3 linked regions of the Arabidopsis thaliana genome follow. The protein of the gene in region 3 interacts with the protein of the main gene of each other region in a pairwise test. Each region holds a gene or a part of one and is shown on either strand. Other genes may lie near its edges.

The links. The genes of interacting proteins can lie anywhere in the genome.
Region 1: the proteins of GDU4 (region 3) and STP4 interact in a protein complementation assay, tested with the Arabidopsis thaliana proteins (one large-scale study listed by BioGRID).
Region 2: the proteins of GDU4 (region 3) and TPC1 interact in a protein complementation assay, tested with the Arabidopsis thaliana proteins (one large-scale study listed by BioGRID).

Annotation. Positions count from the first base shown.
Region 1 is NC_003074.8:6,932,831-6,937,697, reverse strand, and holds STP4 (sugar transporter 4), read right to left. Parts: upstream 3,131-4,867; 5' UTR 2,651-3,130; coding exon 2,518-2,650; intron 2,432-2,517; coding exon 2,112-2,431; intron 2,031-2,111; coding exon 1,401-2,030; intron 1,319-1,400; coding exon 857-1,318; 3' UTR 501-856; downstream 1-500. UniProt on the Arabidopsis thaliana protein: Mediates an active uptake of hexoses, probably by sugar/hydrogen symport. Can transport glucose, methylglucose, galactose, xylose and mannose, but not fructose.
Region 2 is NC_003075.7:1,578,042-1,585,928, reverse strand, and holds the start of TPC1 (two-pore channel 1), read right to left. Parts: upstream 6,001-7,887; 5' UTR 5,677-6,000; coding exon 5,557-5,676; intron 5,229-5,556; coding exon 5,085-5,228; intron 4,989-5,084; coding exon 4,881-4,988; intron 4,571-4,880; coding exon 4,475-4,570; intron 4,360-4,474; coding exon 4,229-4,359; intron 4,037-4,228; coding exon 3,976-4,036; intron 3,879-3,975; coding exon 3,712-3,878; intron 3,620-3,711; coding exon 3,514-3,619; intron 3,408-3,513; coding exon 3,330-3,407; intron 3,177-3,329; coding exon 3,115-3,176; intron 2,969-3,114; coding exon 2,896-2,968; intron 2,778-2,895; coding exon 2,712-2,777; intron 2,620-2,711; coding exon 2,476-2,619; intron 2,400-2,475; coding exon 2,342-2,399; intron 2,073-2,341; coding exon 1,965-2,072; intron 1,878-1,964; coding exon 1,814-1,877; intron 1,739-1,813; coding exon 1,570-1,738; intron 1,332-1,569; coding exon 1,267-1,331; intron 1,112-1,266; coding exon 1,021-1,111; intron 847-1,020; and 8 more. Other genes in the region: GSL05 (glucan synthase-like 5), read right to left, coding at 6,734-7,887. UniProt on the Arabidopsis thaliana protein: Functions as a voltage-gated inward-rectifying Ca(2+) channel (VDCC) across the vacuole membrane. Is one of the essential components of the slow vacuolar (SV) channel.
Region 3 is NC_003071.7:10,557,596-10,560,739, reverse strand, and holds GDU4 (glutamine dumper 4), read right to left. Parts: upstream 1,568-3,144; 5' UTR 1,262-1,567; coding exon 791-1,261; 3' UTR 501-790; downstream 1-500. UniProt on the Arabidopsis thaliana protein: Probable subunit of an amino acid transporter involved in the regulation of the amino acid metabolism. Stimulates amino acid export by activating nonselective amino acid facilitators.

The DNA of each region.
Region 1 (4,867 bases), on a different chromosome or scaffold from region 3:
TTGGTACTATATAGATCAATTTGAATTTTTTAATAATCTTAAATATCTTTCAACAAAAATAATGTTATTTACAATGCGTAATTTGAAAGAAAGAATTGGAAAACGTTATAGGGAGTTTCAGGCAATGAAACCAAATAGACAAAAAAAAAGAATCTTCAGTTACCAGTTTCCACGAGCTCGTTGCCATCATATTCATAGGTCAATCTCAGTTTGATATATGCTATCAAAGTTTAAAGGTAATATCACTGCTAGGTTTGGTCGGGAGTTTTTGACTCTGTACTCAATTATTCATCCATGCACTGATGCACATCAGTACTTGTATTATTTCTAACTTTTTTTTTTTGGGAAATTGTAATACCGTCACTAGATGAGTGATAGTTTTAAGTTATATTAAACGATCAGTTTTCGAAAATGTGAAATTACTTTCTCACAAAATTTGTTGCAAAGAAGAGCTGAAGAGGTACCGCAATCATTGGAAAGAAAAAAATGGTAAGGATAAACTGGAATATCGATTGATGAGTGATGACTATTCTTGTTTCTTGCATAAAGCGTTAACACTATTTTTCTCAAATAAAGATTCAATGAAATGTAAAATAAGAAACCATTTTTAAATAATTTTGTTCTTTTTTTTGTTTTTACATCTTTAGGCCCCAAATAACAATTTCAACAAAGAAACATTAAAAAAGAAGAAAGAAGAAACAATGAAAGCTAAGTCTCTGAAGCTAAAGACAGAGCAGCTTTCTTTTAGGAAGTAAGGCATTTTTGACAATTATTCTTATTTCATCCCAAGAATTATTCACTTTCTCTTTTCTCATAAATCTTTATTGCCCAAAGAAAACTTCATTCTTGATCATCATCATACGGACTTCTGTTGCATCTCAGCAGCACCCATATTGACAGCTTCATCAGGAATAAACTTTCCCCAGAACCAATGTGCCTTCCACACTCTGTTCATCTCTTCGATTGGCACATTCTTTGTCTCAGGCAACATCAAGTAGATGAATATTGTCATTATGACAACAAAGAAGGCGAAGAAGAAGAATAGTCCGAATTTCATGTGACAAAGCATAGTGAGGAAGAGCTGAGCCACAAGGAATGTGAAGAACATGTTGACCGAAACGTTTATGGCTTGAGCTGCTGATCGGATCTCTAGTGGAGATATCTCACTAGGAACCAACCATCCCAACGGTCCCCATGACCAGGCGAAACCCGCTACATAGATGCAGATCAGTGCCACGATTAGATTGGCATCACTTTTCCCTATGTTTCCTGTTCCAGCCACTCCAAATTTGACTCCAATCATGGCTCCAATAGCGATCTGTAATACACACCGATATTTTGAGATATTGAGTGCCAATTAAGAAACGTATAGTAGGGTTAGGGTTAGGCGTTTGTGTTACCTGAGAGACAAGCATCTGGATACCTCCTTGGAGGAACAAGATTCTTCTTCCAAACCTATCCACTGTAAAAACAGAGACGAAGGTACACAAGAGCTCGATGATACCCGTTACCATAGCTGATAGGAGGGAAGCTTTGCTACCGAACCCGAGGGTTTGGAACAAAACCGGGGCGTAGAAGGTAATGACATTGATTCCGGTAAGTTGTTGAAAGAAAGGAATGAAGCAAGTCATGATCAATTGTGGTCTGTAACGAGGAAGCATGATGTTCTTCCATGGGTGTTTCACTTGCTTGGACTCCTCACTTGCATCAATGAGATCTTGAAACTCTTCATCGACTTCATTGGTTCCTCGGATGGACTGAAGCATTTCCTTGGCCTCTTCGGTGTAGCCACGTTCGATGAGAGAGTTGGGAGTGTCGGGAAGGATCAGAGCTCCGATCATGATCATCACTGCAGGGACACAAGCTAATCCGAGAGAGATTCTCCATCCGATGTTTCCTTTCATCTGTGCGGTGAAGTAATTGATGATCGTTGCAACCACAATACCAAAGATAATCGCTACTTGAAACCCGTTGTTGAAAGCTCCTCTTAGATTCGGAGGAGCCATTTCTGATAAATAAACCGGTACAGACTGAAACACAAAACAAAACCAGTTAACTAAGCCACCAGTGTTACTTCTTCATCAAGGAAAAAGACAGTTTTTAGAGCTTACTTGATTGGCGAATCCGACTCCGAAACCAAGTAGGATACGACCAATGAGAAGCATAGCGATGTTTTGGGCAAAGCCGTTGAAAGCAGAACCGATGAAGAAGGTGAAACCACCGAGAAACATCGACCATTTCCTTCCGAAAACTCTAGTAATGGTGGAGGCAAAGAGAGAAGACACCAAAGCCGCCACATAGAGAGACGAAGTGAAGAGAGTGAGAAGCTGACTATCAAATCGACAGTACTCGTTCTCATGTGCGCTCTTCATCTTCTTGTAGACGTAAGGGAAGAACTCTTCCAAGAATGGCTCCATTGAGGTTACCCCTCCTACAAGAATATAGAAACCCTAATTAGTCACCGGAAATTCCTAGATCAGATCAAAGAAGAACAAGACTTGAAGAAAAGAAAAAAACCTGAGATCCCGAGATCGTATCCGAAGATGAGACCACCAAAAGCACCGATGAAACATGTCACAAACACTTTCGGTGTCAGTTTGTAATTGTAGTTCCGAACACCCGGCGTTTGACTGACGAACCCTCCGGCCATTTCTTTGATTTGCTAAAAAACAAATGAAAGATTTGTTGACTTCTGTCTGTTTCAGACAAACAGAGCAGATCTTTTTTCTCTCAGGTAATTAGTAGATCTGGTTCTCGAATTCAGACAGAGAAATCAAATGTAAGAAGAAGAAAAAGAAGAAGAAGAAGAAGAAGAAGACAAGATTTGATATTGAAAATGAAGAAGAGTTTAGTTGAAATTTATAGGATTCGACAAAACCTCAAAAAAAGGAGAAATTAACTGTCGGCTGACTTCTGAAGTTTAGAAGAAAAGAACAGCTGTTGTTCTGGTTCTTCCACTTGCCTATTCCTCTAGATCGTTATCTTCTTCCCTTAATCTCGTGTCTTTTTTTAGTTTTCAGACCAAATAATTATTGTCTTTTTTGCTTAAAACGTAGAAAATTAGTATTTATGACGAGGAATCATTTAATTACTCTTTGGATAGTTTACCAAATTAACCAGATTATTGGACTGAAAATTAATTAATTAATACACTAATGAGTCGCATTTTGTAAGATGATAACTCTTTACTTTGCACTAGAACTACAATTTTGACTCAATTAAAGCTATTTTTGGTTTTATCTAGTCACTTTCGACAAGTGACAGTTATTTTAATTTGATGCTGTGGTACTTAAATGAGTAAACCACCCGCAAAACTCGGTCAATGGACAGCAAAGACCGCTACTAGTTTAATTTTAGTCTTGTAGATAAGATCTTTGATCTGATATTTTAAATTAGGTGTAAAATCTGTTTTTCAATTTTCAAACTTTTAAAAGTAGTATAGTTTAGTTATTACTTTTCCGTCTTTTGACACTAAAAAAAGTGGTATGAAATCTTCAATATCTATCCAAAATTTGAGGTCATATTGATACCTTAATAACCTTTTTACCCGTGAGCCTTTTCATTCACATGCATGGATCTATAATGAATGTAATGTTTTAACATTATCCATGGAATGGGGACAAAATTTAGTTTTTGATAAAAACTAGATTTCTTGATTTTATTAAGAGAGCATATTGTACGTCAAATTGACTATAAGATAACATTTCTGTGTCAGAGGATATTTCAAACAATGATAGTAAACAGTTGGGCTATTGATTACGATGGAAAGAAAAGTTGACTCACTACTTTTCTATATGTATAATTAATTATTTCGTAAACTATACGTAGCTCCATACTTTCATTCGTAGTCTTCCGTTGCTTTCTACTCCTTTCGTTTACATTGGAAAGTCAAAACTCGCGTTACATTATTTTCATGATGTTCCCATAAGGTTTCGTCATTATAGTGTCATATCGTTATCTTAACGACGTTATTCATGTAAGGCTATATTAATAACTACGTTATGCATTGCATACAAGGATATGTTTTATTCCCTATATAAATTGGTGTGATATATTATATATATAATCTTATGTTTGCTACATACAGTAATTAATGTGATTTGAATTAGTCACATTTTTGTTAGACTCATCAGATCTTGTCTCAGCACTGCATTCTCATTAGGATCAGCAACTTGACACTGAATTAATTAACCATCTTTTATGTTTGATATATTGCAGTACTAATTAATTAGTTAGTGCTAATTGTTTACATGCCGATGGAAATTGTAATGTTAATGCAAAATTTGTATAGCTAAAAGGCCTAGCTAGAACAAAACAATTAGGTGAATGTGTTTGAATCTGAGAATCTGAGAAATGCGTTATTTTGATGTAGTGATCTTCTGTAGTTTGATTGCTCTCGTTCCCTTTTTATAAATGTGAACCTTTGTCTTGTTAATTTCATGAAATTATTCAGACGAATGAAAAAGAACAAGACAATTAGGTGTTTCGTCGATCACATGCGTAAAGCCAACTTGACTTTTAGATATTTGTTTGTTTGTATTGCAGATTTTTAAATTATACGTTCACTGAAAACAAAATTCAGAGAAAACAAAAGTAAGAATAAAATGAAACAGGACAACAAAACTCAAAACATAAAGAGGAAGAACAAATTGAAAAACACAAGACAACCAAAAACTCGTACAGTGTACCATTACCATATGTAAGGTTTTGATAATAAATTAATAATTAGAAACCTTAGCCGAAAAAATACAATTAAGAAATAATGGGCATTGGTGCTATTTTCGAGACAGCAAACTCGTTTTTTTTTTTGACGCAAATGTGTATTTAAAATGGCAACAGAAAACTCGAAATCAATTAAGCGACCGAC
Region 2 (7,887 bases), on a different chromosome or scaffold from region 3:
TTAAAAGGTCAAAGTAAAACTCAGTAAACATTACAAAAGTGTTAAAGAAATTGATGCTCATATAGTCATATAGTCATATGTTTTCATGACAAATTATAACACAATCGTCTTATATTAAATCTTCACCCAAAAGAAGAAAAAATTTAGTCACCTTCTAGATTCTATTGATCTCTCCATATAGAATCAAAGATTCACAGTATAAACGTATAAATAAGCTCTTAACGATCTTGTTTTGTTTTATGTGTCAGAAGTGGAACACTCTGGTTTGCTGAGTTCATCACCCAACATGTGATGAAGAAGTGTATCAACTCTCTGACTCCGAGACTTCGACCTTTAATAACCATAAAAACAAAATAAACCTTCAGATTTTGAGTCTAGTATGATATTACCAACCAACAATTTGACCTATCTACTTACCCTGCAGATCGACGCCTGTTTCTTTTTTCTTGAGAATCCTGCAACGATACAATAACGAGATGAAAACATTGCCGATTGAACACGAACCAAAAGGTTCTTTACTTTTCTAATCTCCCCAACATCTGTAACTTTATGGCGAATCAAAGACAATAACAAACCTGTCCTTGACATTTTTCTTCTTCTTCAAGATCCAGCTCAGTAAAGAACGCCTCCAAGACAAAGGCAACAACCTGAAACAAACACGCATTATAAGTCGATCTAAGAAGCAGAGTTAAGTTTCTTTACAACAATCATGGCCTCTGTTTGATCGAGCTCTTAGGAGTTGGCGTCAGTGAAACTCACCAAATTCAACAGAAGTAAAATAGTGATGACATAGAAACTGACGAAATATGTAATGCTCCACCACGTGCCCGTCAAATCTTTGTAGCTCTGAAAGAAATTAAGAGTAGTTAAAACCATTGCACCATAGTGATTGGCAAATAAGAAGCAAGCTGTTTATAGTACATCTAGCATTGGCCTCCTCAGCTCCAATGAATCTTGCGATACTTCTTGTTGGAAACTATAATGAGTCTAAAGTTGGGACTAACAGAAGAGTGAAATTACCTCCATCCATACTTGCCAGTTACCCATAACTAGCAGATTGAAGAGTGTGACCATTCCATTGGGGTAGTCATTGAAGTTGAACAAAAGGTAGCTGAGTTTTTCCCGTCAAGAAACGATCTTATACTGAAAACGTTTTTACCCCAGTAATAAAAAATTAAAAACACACTAGCAATCACAGGAACAGAGAAGGTGTACTAAGACTGTGTTGAGTGCATTAAAAGTTTTTCAGAAAGTTAAAAAGGATACTCATCCTCAGCCAATTCGGTTTCAAAGAGCTTTTTGTTCCCAGCATTCACAAGCCCTCCAAAGACCTACGGAGAAATGAGATGAAGAAATTTTTATATCTGATTTGGGAAATAGAACCCGTGAGAGAAGACAGGGAAAACACATGAGAGTAGCAGTTCAGCGGTTCCTAAAACATTCAGATGAACGGAAAGATGAAGAATTTCAAGAGGCTTAGAATAATCAAAAATGACGAGAATGACCATTGACCAAGGCTTCATCATAAGCTTGCATTTTTCAGACAAAAAACTCAGTAGTCTGATTTACCTGTACGCCAATAGAGCAGTAGATACACAGCACGCAGAAAATGGTCCCTAAATATGGCATCAAACTTGGAATAAGAGTTATGAACGTCGCAATAAATGCTCGGTATCGCTGGACGTTCATAAGAAGCCTTATCAGTCTTAACATTCTCGCCAGGAGAAGGTACCGGATCCTATCAATGAGAACCAGAGTCTGGGTTAGTACAAAAGAAGACCATTGTAACAAATATGTCATCGTTATTCCTCACCATTCTCCATTTGAGAAGAAAGTATTCTCGTCTGGAGTTATGAAGGTAGCTGTTTCCCCAATAACTGCAGATACAAAGATTATCACTTATAGCATAGCCATCAATCACTCAATCAGCAAAACAAGATGAAAATGCTGCTTCAATAGGTTACCTATGACCCATGTGACTAGAAAATCAAATCGGTTAGCACCCTCTCTCCAATAATTCTCAAATCCATATGTATAGATCTTCAGAGCCATCTCCAACACATATATCCAACCTGTAAAAACATTCAAAGATAGAAATTAAAAGAAGAAAAAGTTAAGACTCTGAAAAGGTGGTCAATAAAATTCGGCTGTTACAATCTAATATGATCCATAGAAGTACTCTACTCAGTGTAATAACACAGGAAATAGCTTAACTTCTATTTCATTCTTCATCTTTTCATCATATTTCTCAGTAACCATAGATTATACACTTCACAAAGCATCAAATAGAAGAAAAATACAAAATGGAGAGAAGATAGTGGAAACCTATTCAAGTTCTTACCAAAGACAAACTCGGCAACCTGCCATGGCTTCTGAGCCGAGCTTTCTTCGATATCAAGCTGCATACCAAAATCTGTTATGGCTTATGAAAGAATTAGGAATCGCATGTCAAAGAAATATGGGAACATGATATACCGTTGTTTCAACAACGACAGCAATGAAATTGATAATGAGGATGAAAGAAATAGCGTAGCCAAAGTTGGGGCTTCGAACAAAGGCTCTCAGTTGTTGTGATAAGGCGGAATGGTAAATTTGCGGAAAATGTTCAAAGAGAGACGGCTGCAATGAAAACAAAAAGGATCGCTAATGTAAACATATGGTGGAGGTAAGTAAATTTTGAGAGAAGGAAAATAAAGTATATGTGAACTTACTACTTCCTCCTTTTGGAATCTTAAAGCAATGGCCTGGCAGAGGTCAGCAAACTCATCCTTGTTTATCTGCTCAACAGGAAACAAAAAGGGGACAAAGAATCTGTTAGTCGTCAAGAGGTTTAGGTGAATAGTAATCTTAAGGTGTATCCTGATCATATGTGCCACATCCTTCACAGATCTCTACCTTAAAGTCACGAGTATCGTCAAGCTCATCAAATATCAATCCGAATTCTTCTTTTGATATCTTCGGCAACGTCCTATAAGGAAAAATGAATGCATATCATTATCAGGTCTCACAAGTTAACATACAAAAGGGAAGAAACCACAAACAAGTATATAAAAGATGTATTTCTTTTTCGAAACATAGGAAAGATTGAAAATACCAAAGATCATAGCAACAAACCTGTAATTAGTCAACTGTTCAAAGAGCTTAATGCATTGGTTCTTATCAATCTCCCCGTTTTTCTGTTAAAACATGAAATAAAGAACGAAGAAATATATGCTCAGCAAAGTGGTTAACTATACAAAGACTCTCCATTCATGAAGATCTTTGCCCAAGGAGAACTTCTCCGGATATCTCTAGGAGTAGATATAATCACTATGCGTAGATGAACTTACGTCTGAGTCTATAAGACCAAAGGCTTTCTCCAACATTCTTCTCTTCATTTGATCCATTCCAGATACTTGCTTTGCGAGCTGCAAACAGAATAGATATGATATGACACAAGGTGTCAAAAGAGGTTAATACTTTTGTTTTAAAAGCTGACATAAGAACCATACAAACATCAAATCCTTAATCCACCTGTTCTTTGAAACTGTCATAAACAACGGCAAGAATCAAGTTTGTGACAAAGTAGACGCCAATTAGCACGTAGAGCACGAAGAACACCGAAGACCAGCGAGAAGACCTTAGAGGACAGAACAAATAAGTCACTAAATTACTGGATGCAACGCCATACAAGCAAACTGAGACACAAATGGGATTTCACCTAATACTTACTTGTATGCAGGAATCCAGACATCAGGATTGTTGGATGTTGTGAACAAAATAAACATCTGGTAAAGAGTTGCACCATATGAAGTGAAGACCGTGAGGCCCTGCTGCGTGTCCTCAAACATAACAAAAGCAATCCAACTGGCAAATAGAAGGAACAGCATCCATAGAGCCTGTGAAAATATTCAAGGAGTTAAGTAAATAGGATGACAATCAATATGAGTTAATTACTTATCTGAAAGTCAAAAATGATTGGGGAAGGCCACTGACCAAGATATTCAAGTATGTGCCAAGCATTCCAGACAGAAGGACAAGGGTGTCCCGAAGTTCCCTGTACAGAAATGTAAAGAATCATAACTTTGGGGAATGTGCTGTATTTAGAGATTTAATAGGAGGAATAGTAGGTCAAATAATCACACGTCGACATTTATCATACATGACATGATCTGCGCATCTTTGTCTATAGAAATAAAGACATATAACCCATATAGTTGATAGAAAAGAAGCAGAGATCTACGGATACCTTATGCTGAGGATGAATATGATAACTCTCACGTATGGGGCGATTCTAAAAGGGAGAAAGTCGAAAGCCAGTGGAGACAGATACAGAAAGTCAACCAGCACATCAACAAACAAAATTACCACGCAAGCAACCTGGAATCAATATGAAGACAAATTGTTGCACGAAGAAAAGGAATTTCTTACTTTCTGATCGATTTTCAACAAAAAGAAGAAACACAAAACTGTGAAGTGGCTAGTAAGGAAATACCTTCACTAGATTCAGGCGACTAGTCCAAAAGATTCGGGAACCTTCATAGGATATCGGGAAGAAAGTATGTACAAGGAGTATAGCCAGGGTAATCACCTATTTGGACAGCAAAGAATATTATAATTTCAGCACAATGAGAAAAGGATCTTGGCCAGTCCTTATAATAAACATATCCAAAATAAGATGTGAGTGTTGATATTAAGTTCTTAACGACGAATTAAACGAGATAAACTAGTCTTGAATAAATACTCAAGGCTTCTCAAGATTTAAAGAAAACAAACATAAGGCAATTCAAGTCTTAAACTTTCAAGTGGATGTACATGTATATCATGAGCCCATCTGCACTAAATCTATGCATCTATAGCAAAAAAACAAAGGCAAACAAGACTTAAGTGTAATTACTTGCCTCATAGATAATGGATTCTGCATTGGTCAAGTACGGTAACTCTCCCAGGTAATAGTAATCTCTATCTTTGCAAGACGGTTTAGGGTTTTTTTCACACCACAATGGTTGCTGCAAAAGACAGGAAAAGTGTGTGATTACTTTCAAGTTGTGATTTTCTATAAATTTTTCAAGCAAGGTTGGTGTATACCAAAGAAATGTGCTGACCTCGAAGAAGTTAAGGAAAAGCAGAGCGAAATAGTTGAGTGACCAGATCAGATCCAAACGTGTGAAGATGAAGTAATACCTAGCAGACTCCCCGAAACTCGACTGATCAAGTATTTCCACAGGAAGACCAATACCATCTTCAGCCTACATACCACAAATCAGAGTCAATCCAACAATCCTCTTGACATAAGACTTTAGAGACAATGAAACAACAGATATCTCCATTCCCAATTTTCAAACAATGCTAATTTCGTGAGGATATACACACAAAAGCATTGACTAATCCTTATACGAAGAAATCACTCAGAAGAAGAAACGATTCATCTTCTCAGCTTAACAAAAACACTGACTTAATGAACTGATAAAATACATAGAATCTCTCTTGGAGGCGATGTGATCCATGTATAGAAACTTTTTGAAAAGTCAAAGAGGAAAACGAATTCAAAATTAGGGTGTAAGAGAATAAGAGAACCAGATCAACGAGTGCAGCTGCTTTCTGAAACGGAGTACCATGCGTGATAGCTTCTGATCGACGAACCCGATCCGTACCACCACCACCAAGACTATCTCTACCAATCAACGGGTCTTCCATTTTTTTTTTCTCTCTCCGATGAGAAGAAAATTACTGGATCGAATTGAAAGCAAATGTCGAGGAGAGACCTAGTAGCTTTCTCTGAGTGATTTGACTGTAGTTTGATAAGATCAAAAGGAAGACGAACAAGATTGATGATGATGGCCCAGAAGTAGTTGAATTTATTATTAACAATTTCTCGATTTTAAAAGTTTCCCGTTAGATCAGTCGCCGTTTTGTTAATAAAAGGATTAGATCTTGCAGACAAACACGTTGGTCCCTCGTCGATTTCTTGCCACGTGGCTTTAATTGCTCAATTCTGTTTTTTTTTATTCCCCAATTCACACTGATTGTTTCCCAATTTGTAATAGAAAAGGGAGCAAGAAGTTCAGGAGCATCCAAGTAGAAAAGTCAAAACCGACAAAGTGGTGTTGTGGTCCAATTATATAAATTTATTTCAATTTTGGACCCAGAAATTGACAAGCAGAAACCGATAATAGACGAGAGTAGTGGAATATGGACAAGTATCTAATCTGAAACTGATCTCTACTAAGAAGGAGAAGAAAAGATGTGAAATGTGAACAAAAGCTCTGCGAGATGACATTAGATAACAATCTGAATATAAACTAAAAATGCTCTAAAGCTCTATAATGAGAGAAGGAGAACAAATACACAAAGCCTCACTACACAAATTGCTGTACCTTTAGAACAAAAACCATACAAGAATCAGAGTTCCCTCCACACACACTGACAATCAAATATCTCCCTAAACCCATCTAACCGAATCAAACCAACTTCCCGATTCCTCATCCAACCAAACTCTCCAAAAACCTGTTTAAAATACAAAGATAAATCATCAGCATCTGAGTTTTTCTTTAGACGAAACAAAACTTCGAATTCGGTTGTTTCGGGAAAACTAACCTCCAACTGATTCCTTCGCCACATACCAATAGGATTTGAACTACCATTTACTTCTTAAGACCTACACAAATTTAAAGCCCGCATTGGTGTGAAATCCAGGATTTAAACGATCATAACATAAGGTGTTGAGAACAAGGAGCTTTACCGTTTTTTAAACTTAGACATCGCCTTTTGATTTCTTCCCAGTGACAATCTGCATGATGCGAAGTCCTCTGCTAAAAGCTTCATTGAATAATATCCTCGTTTGCATTGACTGGAATCCAGGCATCCATGACAAGAACGCTACTGGAACCATTATGAGTATCCCAAACAATATGTCATACATGCGAGCAACAGAGACAACAGCATTCCAGAAAATAGTGTAATTCTTCAGCCACTTCCTTTGAGTCTGTGCGATCAGCAGAATTCCCCAGCCAGTTGGGATGAATGCAAGAAGGCTTGTGAAGATATCGATGAAGCTGAAATGCGTGAACTCGAGCAAAGCAACAATCACCAGTATAGCAAGCACGATCAGGAGGAATTGGACAAGCCTGTACCGTATGTGAGCTTTTGCCGAGTACTTGTCACGGGCGTATTGGATGACTAGGAAGAGCACAAATATAGCAAAGATGTATATCCATGAGAACAAGTAGACAAAAAGGCTGGTGGATCCGTTTGCAATTTTAAGCTGGTATACAATCCCATACTGGAAGAAGAAAAACCGGAGGACCAAGATGATCTCCACAAATAATCCTGCCTTCCCGGTGTTTCTCAGGTGGTCCTGTTCCTCGTACCACCATTTTTCCCAGCTTTGTTCAGATTTCGTTGAGATTCTGCCTTGGTACCAGATCCAGTTCATGAAGTCTTCAAAGTCATAGACTGTCTTAAGCCAGTCGAATCCTGATGGGTTAAACACAAATGGGGCCATTATCCATGAAATCACAAGAAACCAGCTGGTGATAGTCATGGCTATGTAAATCAACGAGTCTTTGGCAATCGGACTGTGCGAAGCGTAGACTATGAGGATCAGCCCAAGCTCGATGGCCTTCACAAAGTGACTGCGTGCATACAGTCGGTAGTTCTCAGTGAATCCCTTGTGCTCGACAACAAATCCACGTCCAGTGGCTCTATACTTGGCCCCACCATGGAGAATAGTTCGACCGAAATAGTGAGCTCTGGTCCCCATTGAGAATGTGTAGAAGACAGCTGAAAGCTGAATCTGCATTCGAATGAAATTCCATATCGCTAGAAGGAAACCCTCCTCGAGAGACCATTCAACAATCATTGGCAGGGCAGTGAACAGACCGAGCTGAATGATGAACTGCTGGTTCA
Region 3 (3,144 bases):
AATGTAAGTTCATAGTTAATAGTAATACTATTTCCAGTTTATTCACTCGTTATATAACAAGTATAGTTAAACAAGTATAGTTAAAATTTGACGGTGAACTAGATGGAGTCTCAATTAATTTAAAATATCCAAGTTGATAGCAAATTCAGAACTATCCTATGGTAAATAAAATATATAAATGCAAGGAAAATATGAAAGTAACACAAATACATGGAGGAGACACAATTATAACAATTCATAATTAAAGTAACTAAACGAATCTCCTTACAAAATATAAAATGTGAGAATATATACGTAATACAAAAGGGTTAATGCATTACATTAGTTTCTGAAAATGTATATAAAATTACAGTTTGTGTACGGGATGAATCACGTTTCCATCGAAACATTGCAAGCTTTGAATTTATGATCAATAGTGTTATGATACTTTTTTTTTTTTTTTTGGGCAAACATAGTGTTATGATACTATGATTCATTTTTTTGTAGATCTTAGTGATGACATAAAATTGTAAGAATTTTAAGTACTATTATGTTATTCCGTTTTAGTTTACTCTATTACTGATTGGTATTAAAGCTGTATGAGAAAGGTTACCTATCACACTTTTGAGAATTACAAAAACTAAAAACGAGTTTTCCACCATTGGGGATAGGAAATTACAAGCAAACATTCATTAATCATAACCCAAAATTTTCTCTCAGTAAATTTTACATTTCCCGTGAAAACACGAAGGAAAATTCCCCAACAAAAAAAAAAAGACAAGACTGAGAGAAGAAAAGAAAACAAAAAAGCTCACTGACTCGTTGTTTCTTCATTTTCTTTGGCTTTCTCTCTGTCTCCCATTTTCTCCTCTCCAGCACCAATACCATCCTCCTTGAAAATTACCATTCTACCCTCGTGACCGCACATGCATTTGTTCGCCGCCGGCGTGGCCAGAAACCTCGGCAAGTCATCTCCGGCCATTATGACAAGAACCTTCTCCTCGCACGCCGCGCTAGCCGCCTTCACTCCAGACCGACTCTCTTTTTCCTCGTCGACTCTTTCGCCGGAGTCATCACCGGAGGTTGACAAGCGCCAGTAAGAGCAGGCTAGGATAAGTAAAGCGAAGGCTATGAGGCCTAACATCGCCGCAAGACCACCGAATAGGTACGGCACCGGTGAGTGCCACGGCGATATCGGCGGTCGGTGATTCCCAAATGATTCTACTGATGTGGCATGTCTAGCTACATCTAACGATGTTGGTTTAATGCTCAATGGCCTCATTTTTTTTATGTTTCTTCTGTTTCTCTCAGATTTTTTCTAACTATTTTGTTTTTTTTGTTTTTCTAACTTTATATAAAGGAAAAAGTGAAGAAAGCTGGAAAGATGAATGAAACAATGGGTGTGGTGAGGTGTTATATTTATAGGTAAGAAGTCCCTGGGGAAAAAGAAAGTGAGTCACTCCGAATATTTAATTATTTGAATTAAAGCAGCTTTTTTTTTCATTTGCCGTTTATTACTTTTTAGTTTTGCCGCATATATTTGCATGCAATATTATGTACTCAAACTTACTTTGTTATAGACACATATATATGTTAAGGTGCTTGTTTTTTTAAAGAAAGATAGCGAACATTAATTACACAAATTTAAACTAGACACGATAAATTAAATTTTAGTATCTTTAAGAAACTACACTAAAAAAAACTTGAAAAATGCCTACAAGAACTACCGCAGATTGGTTTAAAATTTTTGCTTAACGGTTGTTGAAAAATATATAAATGGTGATTTTTAAAATCAAAAAAAGGATATCAATCATAATATTTACCAATAAATTTGAAACCATATGAACTTTGACATCAATCAACTACACAAACTACAATAATTGGGTATTAGACTTATAAGTCTTATATCCAATAATATGTCAGTGATAGCATGATATCGAGAAAGTTTTTGGAAAGACAAGGGGTTTCCTCTTGATGACTCTAAGATACTTTAAGCCAAATAGATCAATTTAGATAGATGAATAGTTTGGTTTCTGGAAGTGACAGAGGAATGAGAGTGAGAGATGGATTCCAAGACCCCTTACTCTCAGTTCTAATTTATGGCACGATATCTATCTTCTTGTGAGGACACACTATGATGCCTAATGGGGATTTTATTTTTTTGGGATCCCGCAAATTGGGAATCCAACTTCTCTCTTTCTTTTTGGATGAAGAAATTTTCTATCTCTCAATTTTTCTATATCTAAAAGTATTATAAAGTCTATCACTTAATATTTGTCATGTTATAGGTTTTAAATGGTAACACATTCTCAAAGCGATATAACTTGTACTATTTTGAGAGTTATCATTCGCAAAAATTAACTTTATCAAAAACATTACAAAAAGTTTTACTCTTAACTTTACTGTACAGCTTTCTCGTATAATTCTTTTGTACAACTTTGCACTATTCCAAAAAAAGTTTTGGTTATAGCTAACAGCTAAAATTTTGTACAGTTTTGTGTTACCAATCGGACTTATATAAAATAAAATAATCTCGAGTAGTCCAAACACAATTTTCAACTTAACATATCACCAAACTTTGCTTGAATTCAATAATTCTCCTTTTTTTTTTGCAAAGTAAATTATTTAATGTTTTACAATAATAATGAATATTAAAATCTGCACCATAACACATGGCTTAAAAAAAATCATGACTTAATATCGGTAGAATATTGTTAGTCATTATTGTTTAGAAAAACATATTTAGGGCAATAAAGATTTGGAATTGTTAGTTATAAAAGACTAACAAATTCAAAAATTTATTACCCTAAATATATATTTTGAATTATTTTAATTATTACAAATAAATTGATTTGATATTAAAATATATATGTTTTTGATTAATTGTTATTAATTTAAGAAAGTTAATTTAGTAATTTTACATATTAAAAATATATTTTTAAAAGAAAAATAAAGAAAAAAAATTTCAAAAGTGCAAATAAAAGTCATATGTGGGATTTTTTTTTTTTTTTTTTTCCAATTGTTACTATCACACCAACTACCGTGCACCAGGTGCACTACCTCAATAATCCATAAAGCTGTCATCATATTAAAATGTAGTGATCAGGTGCAAATTTGTGCCCCAAATGTTATAAACTTTTTCTTTTCTTTTTGTTAAAAGAATTA